Linked DNA regions of Schizosaccharomyces pombe. The protein of the gene in region 1 binds, or shares a complex with, the protein of each later gene. Each region holds a gene or a part of one and is shown in the gene's direction. Other genes may lie near its edges.

Region 1 (6,859 bases):
TGTTATGGCTGCTAACGTAGCACCCGATTATGGTGTTCATTTTCACCAACTTGGGCTAATCGAAGTTGCCGATGCTCGATCTTCATCCAGAAAGTCGTCCTCTGGCCAGAGCAGTTCCCTGAAGGGTAACGTTAATGTAGAGGATAAACGTCTCATTCAAGCTTTACCTGCTATTTCTTTTTTCTTTTTGTCATCCATATCCCCTAACAATGTTGCGGCCTCATCGGCTAAGACTAGTTTATTTATTGCTTTGAAGCGTTGCTTCGGCAAAACTAATGATGGTTCGAATCCCTGTTTATATCATAAGGAATCCTCTGCCATTTCCCTGTTTTTGCGTCTGTATGCAATTGCTTTTAGTAATACTGATGCCGACTACATACAAGACTCTGGTCCTTTATTCAAACGAGTTCGATTTCTTCTTTCTGAGTCACTTAAAAGCGGCTTGTTTTCAGAATCCTCTTTATTACAGATGACATATTGTGCATTGGCTGCAAGGGTTTTAGCTCCATTTATTGGCTTTAGTGATTCTGGAGAACACGGTGAGTCGTATCCGAATTTAAAGCTTGCTACACAAACTACAACTATGTTTTTTGAAGTCCTTTCTGATTCAGTGAATAGCCAGCTTCCTTTACAAGCTCTTACCTCTGGTGTGTCGAGTAAGAAGGACGGTAATTTTGATGATCTAGTCGAACGTCGTCAATATGGATCTCTGTCTTCAAATGCTGTACTTATGCCAATGCTTCTACCTTTGTGTGTTTTGACTTCTTCGTGTTTGCAAAATGGGGACGTCTGGCTTACTAAAGATATTCGAACTGGACTTTCACAGATATTCAATCGTTTAAGCTTCTTTTTGGAGAACACAAATCAAACAGCTCCCGACGACTCTGTTCTTGTACGCTGTTCTTCTAAAAGTATCGGCCTGCTATTCTTTTTCCCTCTTGTTAAGGTTTGTGGAGTTCCTCGTGATACTTTACAGTGGCTTTACTTTTCAAATCATTATCCTTTTAATGAGGAAGGTAAAGGTCCCCAAGTTGATGATTCTGACGCACTGATAACAATTGCGTTAGATTCTTTGTATGTGTTACTGAATATGCGAGCGAAAAGTACACCAAATAGCACATCTTTTTCTTCGCCTCCAACACCCCACAGATCTCCATTTAGCGGACAGGCTTTTACTGGAATGGGATTATCGAATTATTCACTAATGTCCTCATCTTCTTTTCCATCTGCTCAATCTTCTCCTACATCTCCTTTTTTATCTGGAACACCATCCATAGCTAATCAGTCATCTAGTATTGCAAGTCTGCAATTTGGGAGGATGGTGGATAGCCTCGTTGGACCTGTTCAACCTATACCTGCTCAAACTACCGGGTGCTCTGTTCATTCATTACAACAACGCACGTTTTCAAATGAGAGTCCTAGAGCTGTCGATTCTGGTTTTAGTAGGACTAGCACACCATTTAGTGAAAGTACTAGTTCTTATCCTTTAGTGTCTGGGAATCTCAGTTCTTGTGAGACACACTTGAACGGATCTCCGCAAAACGGACATTTACAAGGTGAACGTGTTTTATTCCGCCCATTGAGAAGCCCTGCTTTAAACACATTTTCTACGCCTGCTACGGAACCTCCGGAACATTTGGTTTTGTCTGAGCTATTAAAGAAAATGGTTAACATCAGCAATAATTAAACTGTATTGTTGATTGTAATGTTTCATTAAAAATTCTGAAGTTTGTTAGAAGCAGTCAATTAACTTTGCTGCCAACAACGAACAAATTTCTTGCTTTATTTCTCACGAAGTGAAATAACCCAAAATAATGTATCACGGATTTCTTTGTTTATACACTGTGCTTACGAATTAGAAATGGTTCTTCACTTGCCTAAAGAAAGGCTTTGACTTTTATATAAGTATGAATAGTCATCAAATGGCCTAAAGTGTACGGGTATTCACGACACTTAAATTAAAATATGGTCGATGGGAAAATAAAACGTTGTTTAGTTATCATAGCGCTGTTCTGGTTTGACCTAAACACAAGCAATTAAGGCGCTTCCCAATGTTACAATATATATCATAGAATGGGTTAATTGTTTACATAGGACTGCGTTGAATTCTTTAAATAGAATCTTTAGCCTCGAATTATGAAGTTATCTGACTTGTTGGATATCCTCAGCTTGCCAATTGATTGATAATAAGCATATGAGCTTGGACAGTGAATATTCAATATTTGGTTACTCAGTGCAATTTGTTTTGTGATTCTAAGCAGAAATGCTCTTTATAAACATTTACTGCACTATCTTGAGTTTCTAGAGCTTGTTCTGTATCCAAATTGTAATGACTGGCGATTCTCAAGTGCCAGATCTTATACCTCTTTTTATGTCTTTACCAGACGTTATCGTAATGCCTGGACACAAAACTAAAGTGTAAATTTGTCTTTCCTATGAAATGCTTGGTTTTTCATTAAAGTGTTACGAATTCGAAACATATATCTATGATTTTTGAGTATACACTGGCGGTATCTGTTGTTTAAGATAATTTAGTTTTGAGTTATTCGAGGCAATCAATTTCTTATCAAGTGTGATTCTCTTTTTAGAAAACCAAACTAAAAGTAAATCTATTGATCTTTTCAAGTATTAAGACAACTTGTTTTCTTTTGGATAAAATGCTTTTATTGTTGCATAATAGATTGATAAAGGTACGAAATGTATAAATGCATTATTTTATGTTGAGTACTTTACTCTTTCAGGATTGTGTTTGAGCTAAGCTTCTTGCATCTCTCATTCATCATCACACATCTATATTGAAAGGAAAGAAGGTAAAAAACGAACAAGAACAAAGTGAATACAAAAGAACGAATTGGATTAGTATTGTTATTGCATGAAAGTGATCTTATGACATGCATCACTATCCTATCCAAATAGTTTGTAGAGCCAGTTAGTAATAATACTTTCCAATAATTTGAATATGTGTGGCATGCCATTTGGCACGATTTTGAGAAATACAAAAATAAAATCATCTTGTAAAAGAAGAGCAATTAGCTGCTTTTTTATGTACCAGCTGAAGGAAAAACATTTGTTTTTCGACGTATAAAAAAAAACAGAAAGACATCAGCTTAAAGCTTTAAAGCTAACTTGTTTAAATAAGTTTGTAAGTTACAAGTACAATACTTTCTATTACACTTGGCACTCAAAATCGTGTGGCATATGATTATAACGATGCCTCGGATTTCCTTACTTGGCACTAGGTAATACGGTACACTAACCATGACAATACACTAGACAAACGCGAGCAATCTTCCAGCCCTAGTACCTAAGATCCATTGCAAAATTGTTTTGGTTGCGAGACTTACCTGTTTTATCCATAACCATTTGTTAAAACCTTCCTTTGAAGATTTGAGAAACAGGTATCATTTGTGGACATTGGTCTTTACAATTTCCTTGTTTCGTGATTATAAATATTTTTTCCCGGATTTGTGTTATTTACTATAATTTATTGGTAAATTATAACACAAGTGCTCATCTGCTTATAAAGCAAAAGGATTTTCACGAAAATTCCCTAGAAAGTAACCTGTTGTATTTTTGTCGCTTTTGGTTTCTCTTTGTCATTATACTTGTTTTAATTCATTTTTTAATTTTTAACAATGCTTGGGATAAGAAAAAATATCAGAATATCAGTTAACTTTCTGCAGCGAAGAACCATCACTGTAAAGCAAAAACTGGGCAAGAATAGGCCCCTACCAGGATGGGATCCAAATTCTGAGTATTTTCGTCCAGGACCCACCATGTTAAATCGCTTACAAGAACACTTGCATGATACCATTTTACCGGATGTATTAGCTGCTTCATATCGACATGACATAGATACAGCGTTAAGCACAGATGAACATACACAGAAAGACAGACTTCCAAGGTGGATTGGTGATAACCCTTATTATAAAAACCGGCCTCCTCAGAAAATGCGTGGTAATAAGCCTCTGTTACCAGTAAAGGAGTCCGTTAATCCTAAAAACCTTCCTTCTATTAGCAAAGTTGTCGTCAGCACTATGCATAAAGAAGCACTCGTTGACAAAACGCAGCTCTTGAGTACAATGATGGCATTTCGTTCTATAACGGGTTTGCAGCCCGAAATAGTCTATGCACGTAAGGACGTTTCTCCCTGGAAACTTCGTTCAGGTGTGCCAGTAGGTGTAAAGGTTACTCTAACTGGAGAATCTATGTATACATTTCTTTCAATCTTATCTGAGTTGGTTCTTCCTCAGCTTCATGATTTCAAGGGCCTGAGTCCTACAAGCGGAGATCAAACAGGAAACATATCTTTTGGTTTACCAAGTGAAGTCATGCCTTTATTTCCCCAAATTGAAGCTGTTTATGAGATGTATCCGCACTCTTTACCTGGATTTAACGTAAATATAACAACCAATTCCAAAGATACCCGTTTGGCTCGTTTTTTCGTCAGCAGTCTTATTCCATTTACAGATGGAAATAAGGAAGGCTATGTTGGATAGTAGACAATTTATTTTATATCTACTATACCTAATCTTTTCTCCTCAAGGAGTGAACAAAAAATCCCCTTCTCTACGACTAATGCATACATACGTTTTTGAGTTTTACTTGTTTAAGTGATAGAATTCCCGTAGATATGTGTTATTATATATTTATGTTATCGTTTTCACAAAGTAAATAAAAATAAAAAGTTTTTTCTTGAAAAGGAATAATCAATGGATATTTTTTAAACAAACTGAACATGTAAAATAGTATTTTTTTAGTAACTAAACTCATAATGGTATTTATCAAGGACATTCACAAAATCATTAAAAACATGAATATTGTAGAAAAATATAGCAACTTAAATCATACGGTTTATAGGTTAAATAAATTCATTAGTTCTAAATGGCATAAATGCAATGATAATGATGCAAAAAAACATAAAAAAGATAGATCGTAAAATAATGTTTCTGTTTTCATCATAACTTAGCCGGCTTATGAAACGAACGGGTGGCTCAACAACTCTGATGCTGTAGGTCTAAGATTACAATCTATGGCAAACGTTTTCTCAAGGAAATCTATGGCCGATGAAGAAATGTTAGAAGGGAATTCCGGCAGAATGTTCTCCCCAATTCTGAAAATGGCCTGCATTTGATCACAATTCGGATAAGGGTGCTTACTAGTGAGCATCTCGATTACCAAACATCCCAAAGACCAAATATCTGTTTTCTCCGTATGCATAGTTTGCTTCACCACTTCGGGAGCCATCCAAAAAGAAGAGCCTTGAAAAGAAGGGCGAGCACCACCCGTCTTCGTAGAGGTACTATTTAGTTCAAGTTTCTTCGATATCCCAAAGTCCGAAATTTTAATCTTCCCTTTATTATCAACCAAGATGTTCGCACCTTTTATATCACGGTGTACAATGCCGCGTGAATGAAGGTATTCTAAGCCTTTAAGGGTTTGCTTAATAAAGTTCTTGACTAGCGTTTCCTCAAAGCTTCCATACATTGTAAGCAATCCGGCAACCGACCCCCCAGGAACATATTCCAAAAAAATGTTCAAGTGGTCCGAATTTAAGTTAGAACCGAGATATTGGACAATATGCTCATGAGACAACTCCTGTAGAAGAGCAATTTCACCCGCTAATGCATCTAAAAGTTTGGCATGGCGGTCTTTTGATTCAGAAACAGAATCTAAGATCACTTGCTTAACAGCCATCAACTCACCACTAGATGCATTCATACCGAGATAAACTTGTCCAAACGATCCTGAACCTATTAACGCACCACGTATCCATTTGATAGACTGATCATCAGTGTCCTCTTCAAGTGTATTTGTGTCCTCACTTGTAGTGGAAGTTGGAGAAATTGGGGATGGTTGCTCAATAAATGATGGGGATGAACCAGGTGAAAAGGAAAGTACTTGATGGTTGCCATGCGCGCTTTCTGAAAAAACATTATACTTCGACGATTTTTCATTTCCGTTGGACTGGTATAAAGGTTCCACACCAACCATGGTTATGGATTTTTGAAGCGATGGTGGTCTAGAAATACGCTGAGTAGAAGATACAGTAAGTGGAGGATCAAATCCCCTATCAATCCTAGGAAGTCGGTTAACATCTTCAGCAACAGAAATCCTCAGAGAGGAAAGAGGACAAACCAATTCGGAAGGGCGAGCCCGCCGAGAGCTTCTTGGCAAAATTTCTTGACCAAAATTACCAAGATTGTGCCCTTGAGACGTACGTATGCTAAGGTTTCTACGAAGAGAGTTTGATATTGTTTTTTCCAGTAGCTTTGGTTGATGATCGGGGAAAAAATCGGAAATTCTAGAATTAATAAGCTCGCTAGGAGGTCGCTGGTAGGATTCAAATGGTTTCGCATTATTTGAGCGGACACTTCGTTTCTGAGTGCTCGTGGGAAGAACAGAGGAAAGTTTAGGAGAAAGGGAGGACTGTGATGATAATGCTGCCGGTTGAGCCAATTCAATCTCCCAAGAACGGCGGAGGTCTTCAAACGATGGACAAGGCTTTTCTTTTGGCACAATAATTAACCTGTCGCGTTCCGGTGAAGATGAATTAAAACAAATTTGTTTAAATTCTTCTTCAGTAATCAGCTTAATTCGACTACTCTGTGAAACGCATACAATGAATTTTGAAGCATCTTCAAGGCTAAACTTTTTCAAAGCAATAGCGAGTGTTTTCTGGTAATCTCCTCGTGATTGAACTGCTCGAGTTTGCCCGTTACAGGCAATAAACCTCAGTATACATGGACGTGGAAACTCTCGTAAATAGTCTCTTTGTTTTAAAAATTGTTTGCCTTTGGCGGTGTTTTCAATGCCTAGGTCTTTCAGTAAAGGCAAGGTTAAATGATTTAGGTGTCGT
Region 2 (2,782 bases), on another chromosome or scaffold:
TGCTTATGTATAAGACTCAACAAGAGTGTCTCTGTTGCTTATAATAGCAGAAGGTTGAGCATCTTGAAGTTTAAATATAGATTCACAGACAGCCAATTCAGTAGCCGTAGTATCAAGTCCAGCAAACGCACACCAGTCGTTCACAACTAGACCAGCACCGATAACATCGGAACCACGGTTGATGGTACCGGCAACAAGAGGAACTTGAAGAAGTGATGACAATTCATCCTGTTCCTGAATGCTAGTACGAGGGTGAACCAAAGCACCTTGATTGCTCAATGCACAATACGAACCGGTTAAAACATTGCCTGCAACGGTTTGACGGAAAACTTCAACATCTAAGACATCAGCAATAATTTCCTCGGTTTCACGCTCAATATCAGGATGAACAAGGGCCACATAGTCGTTGCAAGCCACAATGTTTCCTAGAGCTGAAAGTCGTTCATCAACACGTTGGATTTTGACAGGATCTGGAAGAGAATTGCGGAGGTGCTGTAGTTCATTATCGGTGGTAGAAGAGGGAACTAACAGACCTTTTCTATTACCACATGTCAAACGACCAATGATTCTGGTTCCTCCAATTGTGGTATGAACAACGGGTACAACATCACCTAACTCTGCCTCGAACACGCTGTTATAAAAGTTAGTGAAAAGTTGATAAATGTAAAAAATGCCAAAAAAAATAATTTGTCGAGCTGCATCGAGTCAAGGAATAATAAAGGTAATGAACAGCAAACCGCCAGAGTTTAAGTAGTGGTTTGCATTTATGTAGCAAAGTCTCTTTTACTCAATTAAAGAGTAGTTAGGCTACATCATTCACATATGTGCTATTTATTTTTCTCATAATACGTTCGACTGGTTAAGGATTTTAAGAACCTTTAAAAAAATTTTGAATCGTTTACATTTAGAACATTAAATTTTGGCATCAAATAAACGTTAAGCTTACCTGTAGAAGTTTTCAGAGCCTCCAAGCGCTACAAGTGCGTATGAGTTTGTGAGATTAGAAAAGACACCAATCCTATAATTTGTTAATATCATGCGTCTATTAAGCAAAAAAGCTGAGTAAACTTACTCATTAGAATTCTCGAATTGAGCACGAAGTGCCATTTTGGTAAAGAAAAAGTTTTATCCCAGCCAAATTTCACATCTTAAAAATAATAATCCATTGAACATCGTTAATATGATATTAGCATTGTGAAGCAGACACGTAATACCAATTAACATAATTTTTTGTGATATATCGGTAATACTGCATTACACTAATGATTTACTAGGTTGCGTATCACTATATGTTACATGTTGGAATATTAGTAAAGATCCGTTTATTGACAGTAAACAGATAAGTAGTCGTCTATACTCATAGACACCATGTGATTACAACTACTAGAAAGATGATAATTATAGATGTTACTGTAAATCGCTCCTCTCCATTTTTTAACCATATCGGTGACTTACACTAATAGACTTCTTATAACAATAAATATAACATTGTAGTTAATATACTGCATTCCACTAAATGTGGATCGCAAAAAATTCATCGTAATTCAATGTATCGTTAAATAGATAGCAACGTAGTGAATAATAGTGAACAATAACGAGCTTGCGATATGAATTGTATTTTATCGGTTGAACTAAAAGAGTTTCAATATTTAGTGTTAAACGGACTCCACGAACTTCTAGTTTACCATAATGTCATTCTTTCGAGTTCGTTTAGAAAGGTCAGCCATCGGGCTCTCGAGGTACGTGTTTTGGAAACGAGAAAAACATGCTTGTAATTGCTAACCAATATTTTAGTAAGGTGCGCAGCGTTTTGCATTCTTTGAGGTTAACAAAAAGACACTCCGTAGTCTATTGCGATGTAAATCCAATCAATGCGGGAAGAATTTTTAAAGTAAAAGAACTCGTTAGTGTCAGTACTGTGAAACAAAAGTTAGCCGCTGGGCAAGAAAAGAAGTCTCTTGCTTCTAGTAGCGGATTTACAGTGATACATCGATACAATAACGGTTTAAAAGAATTGAATAACATGTTTGAAAGTTAAATTTTCATTCTAGTTATATTTATCGTAATAGTTCATCTAACCAACTTTGGTCTTTGTTTGGCTTTTCAGACATATAGTTCCTAGAGTCGTTTCTTGAAATATGCATGCTGGAATGATTAGAAGAAATGTAATTTTCCCCTTTATCTTCTGTAATGGAAGGCGGAGCAGACTGATCCATACTTTCAAGAAAAGAATCAATATCTTCTTCCGCTTCAGCATGGCTAATGTTTACCTTTGGCTTTTGTACATTATAACGCTTACGGAATTCTTGAATTGACTTTTCATGCTCAACGCTCTCCAACATGTCGGCTACTTCTTCACGTTGGATAGTCCGAACTTTGGACTTGGGTTTTTGGTTGCTAATTCCCAAACCAGTAAGGGGCCGTGCTTGTAGTTTTGAATACTCGAAATCTTCTTCTTCATCTTGAATTGTATCTCCATTCCCCACGGTCTTCAAACTTTCCAAACTTGGATATTCTTCCTCATTGTTATCTTCATCAAAGTATTCCCCTGCATTTTTAAATCTCCATTCGTTATTTCCCAAATTTTTTTTACGAGGTTTTACAGGTGCATCATGAATGTCATGCTTTTTTTTATACGCTAATGTCGCTTTTCTCTTCCATTTATCTTGTACTACCATATGGGACGTCGTGTCTGAAGAGGCAAGGAGGAACCTGTACCCTATAAGACAATAAGTTTTTTTACAATGTTGGTCAATTTTTTTCTTTTCTCGTAGTGGTTTAT
Region 3 (3,628 bases), 1.1 Mb from region 1:
AAGAGGTCGTTTCAAACTCGTAGAGCCGTTGACCTGGATGGTTTGAACAGGAGATTGAGCAGAAGTTTCGGGTATAGGGGATTCTTGCTGAGCTGAACTACGAGTGTTTCTAATTTTCCGAGTTGAGCTCTCTGATCTTTTTGATTTGAATGATGGCGATGAATCCCTTTCAAATGGTTTGATGTATCGATCATAGCAACGAGTGAGAACCTGCCTCACTTCTTTAGTATCTTCAAGACGCAAATAGATTATGACTTTATGTAAAATTTCATTATTTAATGAAGAGCCGGAATTAGTAAACTTTGAGATTGCATTACGCAAACGCAAAAAATCAACTGGGCGATTCCCGATAATCGGTGGGTGATAAAAATATAAACCGCGACTTTCATGAAATGCTTTAAGTTTCTTAAAATAATCATAATTTTTTTCATAATTGAGACAACCTTTATTTAAACATTGGCGTTTTGACTGAAACTCAAAAGCGCCTTGATCAAGAACAACAGGTATTTGCCATCCCTCAGGTGGCAGAAGCTTAATTGCTCCATTTTTGAAAATTGTATGCCAATTATCTAACAAAAATTTAAAGGGATCAGTCATGTTCGAAGCATTCAACTGCACTGACAGTCCAGTTGAAAGTCCAAATGGCCTATTTGACGCGCGATAATTTTTGTCATTATGGTCACAATCAAATTTCAGATATGGTAATGAAAAGTTATCTCCTAGCTTTCTTATTTTCTTCTCTCTTCCTGATCCCATAGAATTATGTTCGTGCCACAAAAGCTGGCATATCATGGAAAACGGAAAAGTGCATAATCAATATACATGGAGAAATATTTAGAAATGCAACACCACCCTGTTTTAAAAATATATACCAAAAAATTTTACAACTTTTAAAAAATATTCTAATAAATTACATAAAATAAAAAACGCGTACATTGATGTATTTATCGTCGATAACACACCGTTATGGGATCGACACGACAGTATTAGGTGGAAGTAGTAGCTTAAAGCTTCAGATCGACATTAACGTAGGTACAGCTAAGCAAAACGTACTTTAATTAGTACTCCCTGTCGTGCTATGGCTGGAAGATCCACGAGAAAAAGATTTTATGCCAATTTTAAAAGTTTTTAACCTAAGGAAGTTTCCGAGTATAATCAAATCCAGTTAAAGCTTGACAATATCCTGATACATTATCCTGCGAACTAAGGCAGCACATATACTGTATAACTTGAAGCATATCGCTGTCAAGGTAGAATTTATGGTTTCTTCACAAGAAAATGAAATTTGCTGGTTCCTGCCACCAACTAGTAACACGAAGCACATCCGTTTTTATTCATAAATTTTTGCTTTGAGGAACAAAACAGTTGAAATTGCATTAAGACATCAATTAGTAGCACAGAAAAATCTATTATATGTGATTCCAGCTGCATACTTTAAAAGTTCAAGTAAAATTGAATATCATTGAGTAATAAAGACAATACAATAAAGGCTAAAACTTTGAAAAAGTTATATTTCTTTCATGCAGTCATTAATGCTGTTTGAATTGAAGAGCCAAGTGAATTTTCCATGATTAAAAAGAAGGATAGAAATTGTCGACGTAAATTTAGTGTCTTTTACTTTTTTTTTCATTAGCGATCATGCTTCCAATATAAACAAAGTAAATTGTAGGTAATGGTACTCTTTTAGCGAGATATTAGGAGTAAGGAATTTCAAACAGAAAATGTAAGGCTACACTATTGTAAAATAAGAATATTTTATACGATTACCACGACTCGTAAATTGGGATAAAGGAAATGTAAGGTAGAAACTTTCGAAGATTGGTTACAACGAATCCATCCTTTTAGTATAAACCAATATTTCGACGAAGATATAATTTTTTTAATATTTAGTATCCTTCTACATTACTAATTATTTGCCAAATCAGTTTAACACATTTTTCTTTTACAATACGTACTTCATTTGATGCAAAGTTCACCGTGCAATGATCAATCAAGGGCTTTTTATTCGTGTTAACAATTTTCAATTACTTAAAGCTAGTTTAGCTTATAAGAAAGCATCAAATATTCTCACTTTCCCTCCTATTCGTACTTCTACTAAACATGGCGGTGGTTCATCGAAAAACACAGGTGATTCTGCTGGTCGTCGTCTCGGCATAAAAAGGTCTGAAAACCAATTCGTTAGGGCTGGTGAGATCCTAATTCGACAACGTGGTACAAAATTTCATCCCGGAGATAATACCGGTCTAGGTAAAGATCACACAATATATTCTCTTGTTTCCGGATATGTTAAGTTTTTTCAAATGGATGTGTCTCTTCGCAAACGGAGGAAATACGTCGGTGTTGTTTTTGACAAAGAGACAACGTTACCAAGGCCCAAAGATGAACCTACAATTCGCCGTGTCAATAAGTATATAACTTCTGCTAATTCTGCTCAAGTTTCATGAAACCATGCGGAAACTCTCATCATCATACCTGCAATGCTCACTATTTAGAGATACTTCAAAAGGATATACTAATAATTACATGCATCAATGCCTTTGGATTTCCTTCAACTTAAGGTTGCACGAAATAACATTTTCTTCTTTTTATTATTTATTTAAACTCCCGTCACGGTCATCGTAGTTTATTACTGTCTAATGCTCAAAAATGTGAATGCATGATTAAATTTATAACTTATTTTGTTACTTTGTCTTGGGCGTATACAAGTTTGCGTATATGTCTTTCTTTTTCTACTGATTTATGCTTCTATTTTTTTCCACGCGAATAATTTGATAATTAAGCATTGTATATGTTGTTCTTAAACTTTCAAGTTTTTTCAACAAATATTTATAATTCGTTTCCAAAAAGTTAGCGTGTAAAAATCGCATTTGCCACGGTTTAAAAATCATTAAAAAAAACTGAACTTGTACCATATTATCTTTTCTGACATAGAATTCAGAAAGTTTTGACCAAACATACAGAAGGTTATTCTTTTTTTACATTTCATTTAAAAATTATTTTGGGCATTTTGAAGTTAGACTTTTAAGTATATCACCTACTATATAGTACCACACCTACTACAACGCAGTGCGTTATATTCCTTTATGTGCAAAAATTGTTGCAGTGTGCTGAGAGGTTTTATTGTTCGGAGTGCTAGCCATTACAAACTTCTAGTTTTGAATCCATTCACGCCTAAATTTTAACAATCGATTGCTAGTCAATTTGCTTACGCATGCTTAAATATAAAAACTAACGAGATAGCTTTTTTATACACTTTTTTCTTCACTTTTCTGTAGGCTAGCGGTATTGCTCTCAAACCCTTACTTTGCATACTCCTTTTCTTTGAAGTTCGTCTATTTAGTAGATAACCATATAATGCCAACCTGAATGAGCTTGAATGAAATTGCTCACGATCAACCTGTCGAAAATGGTCCTTTGTATTCTGAGAAGCAGGACCATACGGCAGTTGATTACGCGCTTCACATACTTTTCACCCAGTTTGTTCGACTCTCTGAACAAAAAATATCATTTCTTTCTCGTTATCATGCCAACGAAGGTAAGAATGCTGAACCTGTACGATTCAACGTTGGAGAGCAAGAAGCTATCCTCCTTCTTAAAAAGGGGGAAGATAATGAATTTGACAGATGTA

The links. The genes of interacting proteins can lie anywhere in the genome.
Region 2: mrpl7 (region 1) and mrpl33 share a complex: the UniProt entries of both Schizosaccharomyces pombe proteins name them as parts of the mitochondrial large ribosomal subunit.
Region 3: mrpl7 (region 1) and mrp7 share a complex: the UniProt entries of both Schizosaccharomyces pombe proteins name them as parts of the mitochondrial large ribosomal subunit.

Annotation. Positions count from the first base shown.
Region 1 is NC_003423.3:1,735,343-1,742,201, forward strand, and holds mrpl7 (mitochondrial 54S ribosomal protein uL5m), read left to right. Parts: upstream 1-3,299; 5' UTR 3,300-3,635; coding exon 3,636-4,499; 3' UTR 4,500-4,755; downstream 4,756-6,859. Other genes in the region: ebs1 (EST1 family protein), read left to right, coding at 1-1,687; MAP kinase kinase kinase Byr2, read right to left, coding at 4,975-6,859. UniProt on the Schizosaccharomyces pombe protein: Component of the mitochondrial ribosome (mitoribosome), a dedicated translation machinery responsible for the synthesis of mitochondrial genome-encoded proteins, including at least some of the essential transmembrane subunits of the mitochondrial respiratory chain.
Region 2 is NC_003421.2:2,221,479-2,224,260, reverse strand, and holds mrpl33 (mitochondrial 54S ribosomal protein uL30m), read left to right. Parts: upstream 1-1,678; 5' UTR 1,679-1,689; coding exon 1,690-1,739; intron 1,740-1,794; coding exon 1,795-2,038; 3' UTR 2,039-2,057; downstream 2,058-2,782. Other genes in the region: tif6 (translation initiation factor-like ribosome biogenesis protein), read right to left, coding at 4-631, 947-1,018, 1,073-1,107; SPOM_SPCC1919.07 (uncharacterized protein), read right to left, coding at 2,058-2,678. UniProt on the Schizosaccharomyces pombe protein: Component of the mitochondrial ribosome (mitoribosome), a dedicated translation machinery responsible for the synthesis of mitochondrial genome-encoded proteins, including at least some of the essential transmembrane subunits of the mitochondrial respiratory chain.
Region 3 is NC_003423.3:2,860,979-2,864,606, reverse strand, and holds mrp7 (mitochondrial 54S ribosomal protein bL27m), read left to right. Parts: upstream 1-1,846; 5' UTR 1,847-1,982; coding exon 1,983-2,444; 3' UTR 2,445-3,128; downstream 3,129-3,628. Other genes in the region: Lid2 complex histone demethylase subunit Lid2, read right to left, coding at 1-792; morphogenesis protein Mor2, read left to right, coding at 3,367-3,628. UniProt on the Schizosaccharomyces pombe protein: Component of the mitochondrial ribosome (mitoribosome), a dedicated translation machinery responsible for the synthesis of mitochondrial genome-encoded proteins, including at least some of the essential transmembrane subunits of the mitochondrial respiratory chain.